Linked DNA regions of Nothobranchius furzeri. The protein of the gene in region 2 purifies or fractionates together with the protein of the main gene of each other region. This does not show direct contact. Links are inferred from orthologs where the notes say so. Each region holds a gene or a part of one and is shown on either strand. Other genes may lie near its edges. The genes, in order: topbp1, atr and claspin.

Region 1 (4,248 bases), on a different chromosome or scaffold from region 2:
CCCAGAGCTGGAAACGTCTACCTCAGAGGCGTCGACCCTTGGACAGGAGGCGTCAACCCTTGGACAGGAGGCGTCGACCGGAGCCTCTTGGATGGACTGGACCGGAGCCCCTTGGACGGGCTGGACTGGGGGCTCGTGGACGAGCTGGACTGGATGCGCAGTGTCCTACGGGACCTCCGCTGAAGCAGGATGCGATGCGTCCTCCGGGACCACCGCTGGAGCAGGATGTGATGCGTCCTTCGGGACCACCGCTGGAGCAGGATGCGATGCGTCCTTCGGGACCACCGCTGGAGCAGGATGAAGCTCAGACGCGGGTCGCAGAGCAGGGGCCTCTTGGGTAGGCCGCACAGCTCTGGCGTCTGATGGATTCATGAGTCTTGGCTTGGGCTGTAGAGCAGGGGCCTCTTGGTTCGGCGGCACAACTCTAACTTAAGATGGCTTTATGAGCTCAGGTTTGGGTTGCAGAGCAGGGGCCTCTGAGATAGGGGGCACAACTCTGGCTGTAGATGAGTTCAGGAGTTCTGGCTCGGGCTGCAGAGCAGGGGCCTCTTGGTCAGGCAGCACAGCTCTGGCTTCAGACGACTGGATGAGTTCAGATTTGGGTTGCAGAGCAGGGGCCTCTGGGTTAGGCGGCACAACTCTGGTCTCAGGAGACTGCTGGTGATGGCGATGACATCTGCGACGAGCACGGCTCCTCGGAGGTGCGGGGATAACGCCGTAAACGCCCACTGGACCTGGTGGAGGTGTGGTGGCTTGGCCCATTGGAGGTTCCGCGATGGCGCCGGTCGAAACAGACGGAAAAGAGGAGTGACAGCCCACCGGAGGTGGAGAGGTGGCGCTGTCAGGACCAGGTGAAGGTGAGGTGGCTCGGCCCATTGGAGATATTTTGTAAGATAGGACTTTTTAATGCCTCATTTACTAAAGTACTCTACTGCATTGTTATTTTTATATTGTAATCAGTGCAAAAGGTCTGTTTATTGTGTATAAATTTGTAACACGGCCATAGACATGATTAGCACACTGCTGTTTGATTTTTGCAACAAAAAAAAAAGTATTAGCAAAAAAACTCCGATATTTTTTTTTCATTTTGATTGTGTGCCACTGTAAAATTGCATGACATTTGAATAATAAGCAATTAAATATGTACAGGTTCTCTAAAGAGTCCCTTTTTTTTTACATATGCATGATCATTTTATTGTGCCAGGTGGCAGGTCCCAAATTTCTTCAGGAATGTTATAGTTATTATTATTATTAGCCACAGAGGCGATGTTCTACTCGGACAGATTAGCAAGTAGGACCGGAAGTTCCGTGAAAGGCGCGAACTGTCAACAATTAGCTTAAATTTTCGTACTATAAATTATTTGTATATTTATTTAATGTTGTGGCGATTTTATGCCGGTTTGTCCTAAAAAAACGAGTTTTACATTTTTTCTAAACATTTTCACGTTGTAACCGGCTAAGTTAGCAGCAGCCATTTAAAACTCAACATCGTTTGTTATAAAAAGTTAGTTTTTACCGAATTTAAGTAGAAACGGAAATGTCTTTATATTCACTACCAGCCGGAGTCCAACCATAGGAGGTGAGTATAGTCCATGTTTTTAGTTATTAGGCTGATATGATCAGGCTAAAAGTGAACATTAGCTAGTAACTTAAGACTTATTACAGCTGAAGCTTTAGTCTATAAATAAATTCCTGTAATTTTAGATACTGCTTCCATCAAGTGGCAACTGTAACATACTGTGTTTATTCCAAGTTCAACATGCTTAAAGGAAACAAGGAATGCCTCTTAGTGAAGTTTGTGGAAAGTGAAGGATCTCTGACAGATCATGCCACCAAAGCGTATGAGGTAAATCTCACTGCCTTGCTTAATGTTTGTTTATTTATTTGCATTTAGTGATTCTAATTCTGTCGTATTTTATTCAGGCCATTTTGGAGCTGCAGTCTGAAAAGTATTTACAAACCATTAAGGAAGAAGATGTGCTGCAGATGAAGCAGAAGGACAGGTCTCTGTTTGTGTTGAGCAGCTTCACCTCTCCAGCTTTCCTGCACTGTATGCAGGTCTGATTCCGTTTGTCACACTCTGAAATTATAAGTCCTGTTGGGATTATTGAAACTCTTTGAGGAAAACTCTTCTTTTGCCTCCGTTTGTCCTGCAGCTTGGCTGCAGAATCGTGAGTCCACTGGTGGTGCTGTACTGCTTACAGAATCAGCGCTGTGTCCCCAAAGCAGAGAAACCTGTGTATAATATGGCAATGGCTGATGTGACCATTTCCTGCACCAGCCTGGACAAAGCAACACGGGTTAGTTAGTTAGTTAGTTAGTTAGTTAGTCTTCTTAATGTAATTTGAAGACTGTTGCTTTTATTTTCTAATTTGTGTTTCTGCAGACAGAAGTGATGGATCTGGTGCAACTGATGGGTGGACGGGCCAGTCTTGATCTCAATGTGTTTGTCACGCACCTGATTGCAGGAGAGGTTGGAAGTAAAAAATACCTGGTGGCTGCCAACCTGGGTAAACCCATCCTTCTGCCCTCGTGGGTCAAAGCCTGCTGGGAGAAGACCCAGGATAGGTGTTCAGCTTGATTAAACTAAAAAATAAAAACGGCTAATTCTAAAGGTTTTGTTCTAAAACCACCTCTTTACACCATTTTGTTCCCAGTCTTTTAAGGTATACAGACTTGCCAGTGGAGGATTATCTGTGTCCCGTGTTGCTTGGCTGTACAGTTTGTGTGACGGGCCTCTCCAGCCTGGAGCGTAAGGAGGTGCAGCGGCTCTGTGAGCAGCACGGAGCTAAATACACTGGCCAGCTCAAAATGAACGACTGCACACACCTGATTGTTAGTGAACCAACTGGTAAGTCACTAACGGCTTTGGGGAACTTGTTGATTTATTACAAACCCTCTAAGAATCCGTTTTATCGGTGCTCCAGGTCAGAAGTACGAATGCGCCAAGAAGTGGAATGTTTACTGCGTGTCTGTAAACTGGCTCTTTGACAGCATAGAGAAGGGTTTCTGTCAAGATGAGAGCAGGTACGCCGTGGACCGCCGTTCATCAAAAACCTCCGCACCGCACACCTCTACTCCTACTGGCACCAGCAAGCGGCAAGGTCGGCTGCTTGCCACGCGTCTTTTAGTTATTTAAAAATTGAGCATCTTTAATAATCACATCTGCATTTTGTCTCTAGATGGTCCGTCTCTGCTGGGCTTGAGCAACATTTCTGTCAGTGCTAGCGTTGGGGTAAATGACACTGCCCTCACCAACTCCACCGTGAGTCGTGTGGAGACGTCGGACCCCGTAGATTGCCTTGATCTCACCGTTTGTCCTGTCGATGATGTTTTGGATGGCTGTAAGGTAAAAACATAAACTTTTTTATTCTCTATAGTTATTTTAGTCAATTTGAGGTGATATTATTGTTGTTCTATTGCTGCACAGCTGTATCTCTGTGGCTTTCCGGTGAAGAAGTTGGAGAAGCTGCGGCGACTTGTAAACGCTGGCGGAGGTCTGCGCTTCAACCAACCCTGTGAGGAACTGACTCATGTGGTGATGGGAGAGCTGGACCAGGAGCTCCACAAGTTTCTCTCTAAAGCCACTTATAGGTAGAAATAATAATGTCTGGCTGTGAAACAAACAGAATGAACGTGTGAATGCTGGTGGTGACAAGCCTTACAGATTTACTGTAATTTACAAATAATTCTTATTTAAACAATAAAAATGTGCTTTAAACTTTTAAAATGTCTTGTTTTGATCTTTTAAACAATCAAGGTATTAAAAAATGTATTCCTAAATAAATCAGTATGCTTTTTAGGGTTAATAAAACATTTGATCTTTTGTTTGATCTGCAAAAACCGGAACATAAAATAAACAATTCTAGAAACGTGAAACTGACCTGAAATAAACTAGGTGTGTTTTTGTGATTCTCCAGGCCTCATGTGGTAACAGTGCAGTGGCTGCTGGATAGTTTCTCTAGAGGCGCTCTGCTCCCAGAGGAAGGATACCTCCACCCTGACTGCCTTCCTCCTGCTGCAGCTGCAGCATCCGTGCCACCTCCCAGATCATCAGCCGGACCGCTTGTTCCCAGTCCAACCACTCCCAGGTTAAAGACGGCAGATGAGGATCTGCTCTCACAGTACATGGACGGCGACCCAACAGTTGGTGGGAGTGTGCTTTTGCAGGATTTATTCTGCATTAGATGTGGGGGTTTTTAAACAAAGTACATTTTTGTGTTTTAAGTTGACGTGCCACCACCAGGA
Region 2 (2,777 bases):
TGTAAGAAATTTCCACTGGACTGACTTTTTTATGCTATTAAATGTGCAAAAACCGTGATATGGACGTTAAAAGATGTGTTAAAATGTTAAAAGTAACGATATATATTTTTTAAATCCCTAAATCCTCCGACTTCCGGTTCATGATTTTCAAAATAAAACCGTGGCGATCTATGGGAATAAGCACAACTTCACTCGTTTCACAATGTTATTTCAATTATAAATAGAACAAAAAAAGCACACAATAAATGGCGGTTGTGAAACAATCAGTGTTAGTCCTTCATGCTCTTGTTGCATTAAAACATGGAAAAGCAGCCCATGCATTAATAAAAACATTAGGCAGCAATATAAAAAAAGTTTTATGTCTGAACCTCCAACTACTGTACTGCTAGCTTAAACATATACACTGAATATAACCTATTTTAAACAGCAACCTTTCACTGAGTCCTCTTAGCTTCTTAAACATTGTGAAAGAAGCAGGATGTCGACAGGAAAAGAGCAACAAGACAAGGGATTAAAAACAATCAGCTGACAGTCTGAACTAATTGCGTCTCAACAGAGGGTTAAAAGATTAAAAATGCTTTTAAAAGGCACATTTACAAATGGACATTTTGTTTATTAGAGAAGAACAAATATGTAAATTTAACATTTCCAGAGAACGGAAAACTTCAAAACAGCAACAGAAACTTCAGGACAAATACTGAACCATCCGTTTTTCATTCAACAGTCCAAAGTGCTGTAACGGCAGGGTCAAGAACTAACTTCATTAGCTGAGGTATTCTTATAGGTACGGGCCCCAGCCCAGGTACATCTGACAGAGCAGTTTCTCATCTGTGGCTTCGTGGATTAAGTAGTGCACGTGTCCCTCTATAGACAGAGGCAGACCAAGCACTTTATTCCTGCTCTTGATCACCCCCTGAAGACGCTGCTCGATGTCACACACATGTGTTTTAGCCTGGAAGAAATGGATACAACAGTAAATTACAGGATTAAATAACATATATATGTGTATCATAGGGAAATATTACTGATGTGTTGCTCCCACCCAACAAAAATGAAACACCACACCTTTTCATTGACTATCTCTCCTGTCTCACTGGCAGGAGTTTTCGATAGTCCTTTGGCTGGTTTGCTCCACTCAACCAGAGGGTCATGAAGGAAGGTTTTAAGCACACTGAAATGGAGAGAAAAAACTTAACTAACAATTTTGTGACAGAAAAAATGCAGCAATGACTAGTAATAACATTAAAGTACAAAGTAAACTAGTAAAAGTTTATAAAATTATATTTTTTGTGTGTTTACCTCATGAGCGACTCCCTCTGGTCTCTCATTAGTCTTATTGTGACCTCGCAGGCCTGTCGAAACAGGCCCTCGGTGCCCATGGGCCCCATAGCATGAACCATGTTTTGGGTCAGGCGGAAAGGCACCACCTCAGGCACGTCGAATGTCTCCCCCTAGAGGACAGAACGAGAATTGCACCAGAGATGTTCAGACAAAAGAGAAAGATGCAAAAGTAGTGGCTAAAACTAAATACAACATTGGTTCTTTATTATCTCATTTATTGTTTTTATATTAAATTTTTTTTATTAATAGATATTTTAGTTTGGGACAAAGACGAACCTTGTTGAAGAGGCAGTTAAAGTCAACGTGAACACATTCACCAGTGAACGAGTCAAAAAGGATGTTTTCACCATGGCGATCTCCCAGACCCAGGATGTAGCCCACCATGGACATCACAGCAGTGGAGCGGCAGTATGCAGAGCGACTGCTGTACCTGTACACACACACACACATGCATGCATACCAGAGACAAAAACAGTAACTGTGTGAGTCAAACAGCACATGGTCAGACACTAAAATGACATCCTCCTTTATATATATATGCTGGAAGGATCTAGAGTACCAGGACGTTGGATCAGGGAAGGTACGGAGGAACCACTCATAGAAGACAGGAGGATGTCGAGAGCACAGCACCTCCTTGTGGATTCGCAGTTTCTCCTCAAAAGGAGCCGTCTTTGGCAGGATAAGCTTCCTCAGCTCTTTACCCGACAGGTAGATGCCTTAAAAAAGCCACAGACACAATTTGTCAAAAGTTTTCATTCATACTGATCTCCTCTTGAACTTCCCAGCCTCGTATGAGAGTACCTCTCTCTTTGTACAGCTTTGTGAGGATGTGTCGCAGCCCAGCCGTGTTGTTGACCCATTCAATGATGCCACACTCCTCGTTGAGGGGTATCACAGCGTAGGTGCGGATATGCAATTCTCTTCGCCTCGATTCGGCATCTTTACGGAGGCACTGCAGACAAAAGCATCACAAAGACGTATCAGTTAGGTGGCTTTTTCTGTAAGACACAATCTATTTCAATCATGATCCATCGGTCCTGCATCAAAACTGTTATTTGTGTATTTATGTAGCAGATGACTCCACTGTCATCGGACTCATCTCTGACTTGGATGAGTCTGCCTACAGAATGGAGGTCGAACATCTGGTCTCCTGGTGCACCCACAGCAACCTGGTGCTAAACGCACAGAAGACAGCGGAGGTTGTTGACGGTTGTTGTGGAAGCACACAGCCCCCCTCCTCCATAGCCCTGTCTGACACTCCTATCATGATGGTGGACTCCTGTCGCTTCCTGGGCACCACCAACACCCAGGAGGACCTCAAGTGGGAGCCCACCATCACCTCCGTCATGGAGTCACCATCATCCTCACCTCCTCTATCACTGTGTGGTATGCTGGAGCTACCTCCAGGGACAAGAAGAAGCTGCAGTGTGTTGTGC
Region 3 (4,135 bases), on a different chromosome or scaffold from region 2:
AACCCAGGGCCGCGTCGACCCAACCCAGGGCCGCGTCGACCCAACCCAACCCAGGGCCACGTCGACCCAACCCAGGGCCGCGTCGACCCAACCCAACCCAGGGCCGCGTTGACCCAACACAACCCAGGGCCGCGTCAACCCAACCCAGGGCCGCGTCGACCCAACCCAGGGCCGCGTCGACCCAACCCAACCCAGGGCCGCGTCGACCCAACCCAACCCAGGGCCGCGTCGACCCAACCCAACCCAGGGCCGCGTCAACCCAACCCAGGGCCGCGTCAACCCAACCCAGGGCCGCGTCGACCCAACCCAACCCAGGGCCGCGTCGACCCAACCCAACCCAGGGCCGCGTCGACCCAACCCAACCCAGGGCCGCGTCGACCCAACCCAGGGCCGCATCGACTCAACCCAGGGCCGTGTCGACCCAACCCAACCCAGGGCCGCGTCGACCCAACCCAGGGCCGCGTCGACCCAACCCAGGGCCGCGTCGACCCAACCCAGGGCCGCGTCGACCCAACCCAACCCAGGGCCGCGTCGACCCAACCCAGGGCCGCGTCGACCCAACCCAGGGCCGCGTCGACCCAACCCAACCCAGGGCCGCGTCGACCCAACCCAACCCAGGGCCGCGTCGACCCAACCCAGGGCCGCGTCGACCCAACCCAACCCAGGGCCGCGTCGACCCAACCCAGGGCCGCGTCGACCCAACCCAACCCAGGGCCGCGTCGACCCAACCCAACCCAGGGCCGCGTCAACCCAACCCAACCCAGGGCCGCGTCAACCCAACCCAACCCAGGGCCGAGTCGACCCAACCCAACCCAGGGCCGCGTCGACCCAACCCAGGGCCGCGCCAACGCAGGGCTACTAGTTGTTACTGTTTACTTCAGCAGCGCCATGGCCGATCCCTCCGGCCGGGTCCTCCTCTTGAAGAACTGCTCGATGGTTTTGGGTTCAGGGATGTGGTATGGCAACCCAAGCGTCGACTCTACAGACGCAGAGAAACGTTTAGCGTGTTGCAGATCAAACCCCTGCAGCTAAAGCAGAGCAGAGCCAGGGGAACTGACCTCGGACCAGCCTCTGGCTCTCACTGTGAAGCTGCTTCATCGCCTCCTTGCTGGCTCGAGCTGCTTTCCGTTCCTGGAGCCCCCAGAGACAATCAGTTTATTCTACCTTCAGTCCGAGTCGTCTACCTGGTCTAACGTGGTGCTGTATCCTACCGCTCGCTGGGGCTTCTCTGGGACCTCTTCATCCTCCTCCTCTTCCTCCAGGAGGGGGTCCTACAGTCACATTTAACAAGTTTAGTCAAAACTTCCTCCTGAAACACGTCCGGACTCTTCTCATCCAGAACACGAGCGGAGTTAGGGTCAGAGTGACGTAAACATCTTGTTCTTACTTTGTGTTTCTTCACTTTCTGTCTGACCGCAGCTCTGATGGCGTCCAGAGACTCCTCCTCCTCCTCCTCCTCCAGACCGGTGCTAAACAGCTCTGGATCACCCAGAGGACAGCCGCTGTCGTTCAGCGCTGGAGGAAGAGGAACGTCCTGATGGAAAGAGCAAAAGGTGACCAGTTTATTTTTAAGATTTCTGGATTTATTTGGATGAAAATTTCAGACGGAACTCACCTCCTCTCCTCCACCAGACCTCCTTCTCCTTTTCAGGCTTTCCACCACTTTGCTGCGTTTTTCTTTCTTCTTTCGATGCCTTTGACTCTTCTCTCTTTTATTCTCCTCCTCTTCCTCGTGCTCTCCATCGCTACCATCAGATGCACGAGCCTTTCTGTTGCTCCTCTGTCCTCCTTTATTCCTCCTCTCTTCGTCCTCACTAGAGGCAGGTACCGCTTCTTCAGACAGCTCCAGGCGTCTTGGTGCCTCCTCTTCCTCACTGTCACTGTCTCTGATGGCGTTACGCCGAGGCTTCCTGTGAACTGTGATGTCATCATCTGAATCTGAGAGAAAAACTGATTTAGGGGACCACGGTTTCTCCTGATTGTCCACGAGCGTCCTGCAGCAGGTCTGTCTCACCTGGACACTCATCTCCTCTATCAGACGTCTCTGGGACCTCCTCCTCTGCAGGAGGACCCATCCCGCTGTCCCAGTGGCTCTGTGGTGCTGCTCGGGCCAACGCCTCAGTCTGAAGAGAGACAGACTTCAGAGCCTGTGTGTGTGTGTGTGTGTGTGTGTGTGTGTGTGTGTGTGTGTGTGTGTGTGTGTGTGTGTGTGTGTGTGTGCGTGTGTGTGTGTGTGTGTGAGAACCGGGTCTAGAACCCGTAGCTGTTCCACCTCTCACACCAGAGCCGTTTGACCTGGTTCGGACTGGTTTCCGGGCCACAGAGAGACACTGGTCTGGGACCAGTCCTGATCAGAAACACGGTCTGGGTCAAGGCGGACTAGCTGATCCCAGACCAGCTGCTAGCCGGATTCATGGCGCCTTCGGTCAGTAAAACAATGAATCAACGTCACAGCTGGATAACCGTGTCGGACCGAACGCCCAGCTGTCCGGTAACGGCTACCGGACCTTCGGACTGTTTGATGTGACTTTTTAACGGAGCTCTACCGAATTAGAACGAGGTGAACGGAAGAACCGATTCCTCGGTGTTAGCAGCTAAGCGGCTAACAGCACCTTAGCACCTTGTTGGTGACGTTTCCCTCCAGCACGCTGAACACACACCTGTCTCACATGTACCTGTCTGTACACCTTCCACTGACGCCGCCTGCTAGCGTCTTTACCTGCAGGTGAGACAGGACAAGGCTCATCTTTGTGCTCCGGTTGGTCCGCCCGCTCCCGGCAGGGACGAGGCTCCGTCCGCTCCTCTAACGGCTACAGCCGCTACCGACACCGAGAACAACGTGTCCGTGAAAAGAACTCTACTGCAGCTCCTTACCGAACAGCTAGGCCGCGTTTTACCGGACAGCTCCGCTTCCTCCCGCCTCACCCGCTCACCGAACACAAAGTTTACACTTTCGCGCGCCGTGACAGCTGGCCCGCGGTCTTTCACCAGCGAGCTGTCAGTCCAGCGCTTCTCGCCCTGCTATTGGACCATCTGTGACGGAGGTATCCGCCCAGTGTGACGACACAGTTAGTGGAGGAATTAAAACATCCACCAGCGCTGCGCAGGCGGGCGGCTAAGTTTGCTGCGCCCCACAGGATTCAGGCTTGTACTGTTTTTGAGACAGCGCCGCCCACTGTTAGCTAGCGTTCCAAGATGGAGTACGATCGGAAAGTTTTTTATTTTTGTTTCTACAAACAACTTCAATTAAATAAATATGATAAAAGCTTTTATTATTAAAATTTACTCAGGAATTTTCAAATTTGTATTCTGAGAACTACTTCACTGAAGCGTTAACAACGAATAAACTATTTTAATAAGCTTCACCGACAATTACATATTATTTATAAATAACGGTTAAGCTTGAATCTGCAGTTGCAGTTACACGTTGATCCTTTAGAGGTCGCTGTCTCAAAACAGTACAAGCCTGAATCTGCGGTCTCCGGGTCTTCTGTAAGTGCACTTGGGCACGTGCGCAGGCTCGAGTGCACGACCGTGCGTTAGAAGAATCTCACCCCTCTCTCTGCAGTACGCTCAACATAGAAATACGACAATAGATGAACCCCGACTGGTTTCTGGTGGTACGCTGACCTCCTCAACACAGGTCCTGGAGAGACATCACTTTCCTCTGCTTTTCATGTCCTCCTATGGCAGGCACCATCTCTGCTTGAGCCACAACAGCTTGCCTTCTCACCACATTGTTCCTCCTAAAAGGCGTCTTTGCTCTTCAGCAGATTATGACGGTACCTTCTGAGTTTACGACCTTCAGGTCTTACTTCATATGATCTTGGGTCAGCTTACTGAGGAACAATGGCGTTTCTGCTCCATGCATTTTGATCTTGGCCTCTCACCACATCATCCTTTGTAAGCAGTCTAAGTGCCCTTGTGGTCTTGTCATAATGCTGTTTTTGTCTGCATTTTAGATTCTCTTGTTTTTCCAGAATCCATGCCATCCCAGTCTCTGACTCAGACCAAGGTAGGCTCCTTAACTTCAGGGTGTTCAGGATCTTTAATTGAATCCAATAAAACACCAAATAGAGCTCAGTGTGACAACTCAAATAAGAAAACCTACCTAAAGGATGAAGCTTCTCCCCCC

The links.
Region 1: the proteins of atr (region 2) and topbp1 purify together in Homo sapiens (affinity purification with western blotting; 8 studies listed by BioGRID). This does not show direct contact. The link is inferred for Nothobranchius furzeri from reciprocal best matches to the Homo sapiens genes ATR and TOPBP1.
Region 3: the proteins of atr (region 2) and claspin purify together in Homo sapiens (affinity purification with western blotting; 3 studies listed by BioGRID). This does not show direct contact. The link is inferred for Nothobranchius furzeri from reciprocal best matches to the Homo sapiens genes ATR and CLSPN.

The regions. Positions count from the first base shown.
Region 1 is NC_091747.1:45,076,888-45,081,135, forward strand, and holds the start of topbp1 (DNA topoisomerase 2-binding protein 1), read left to right. Parts: upstream 1-1,385; 5' UTR 1,386-1,579; intron 1,580-1,753; 5' UTR 1,754-1,759; coding exon 1,760-1,846; intron 1,847-1,923; coding exon 1,924-2,058; intron 2,059-2,156; coding exon 2,157-2,300; intron 2,301-2,386; coding exon 2,387-2,568; intron 2,569-2,657; coding exon 2,658-2,851; intron 2,852-2,927; coding exon 2,928-3,104; intron 3,105-3,182; coding exon 3,183-3,349; intron 3,350-3,430; coding exon 3,431-3,594; intron 3,595-3,920; coding exon 3,921-4,150; intron 4,151-4,228; coding exon 4,229-4,248. UniProt on the Homo sapiens protein: Scaffold protein that acts as a key protein-protein adapter in DNA replication and DNA repair. Composed of multiple BRCT domains, which specifically recognize and bind phosphorylated proteins, bringing proteins together into functional combinations.
Region 2 is NC_091758.1:22,170,109-22,172,885, reverse strand, and holds the end of atr (serine/threonine-protein kinase ATR), read right to left. Parts: intron 2,294-2,777; coding exon 2,143-2,293; intron 2,058-2,142; coding exon 1,901-2,057; intron 1,772-1,900; coding exon 1,618-1,771; intron 1,452-1,617; coding exon 1,300-1,451; intron 1,172-1,299; coding exon 1,066-1,171; intron 953-1,065; coding exon 779-952; 3' UTR 593-778; downstream 1-592. UniProt on the Homo sapiens protein: Serine/threonine protein kinase which activates checkpoint signaling upon genotoxic stresses such as ionizing radiation (IR), ultraviolet light (UV), or DNA replication stalling, thereby acting as a DNA damage sensor.
Region 3 is NC_091759.1:26,753,864-26,757,998, reverse strand, and holds the start of claspin, read right to left. Parts: upstream 2,882-4,135; 5' UTR 2,747-2,881; coding exon 2,720-2,746; intron 2,124-2,719; coding exon 2,015-2,123; intron 1,939-2,014; coding exon 1,616-1,938; intron 1,535-1,615; coding exon 1,388-1,534; intron 1,272-1,387; coding exon 1,212-1,271; intron 1,132-1,211; coding exon 1,059-1,131; intron 980-1,058; coding exon 877-979; intron 1-876.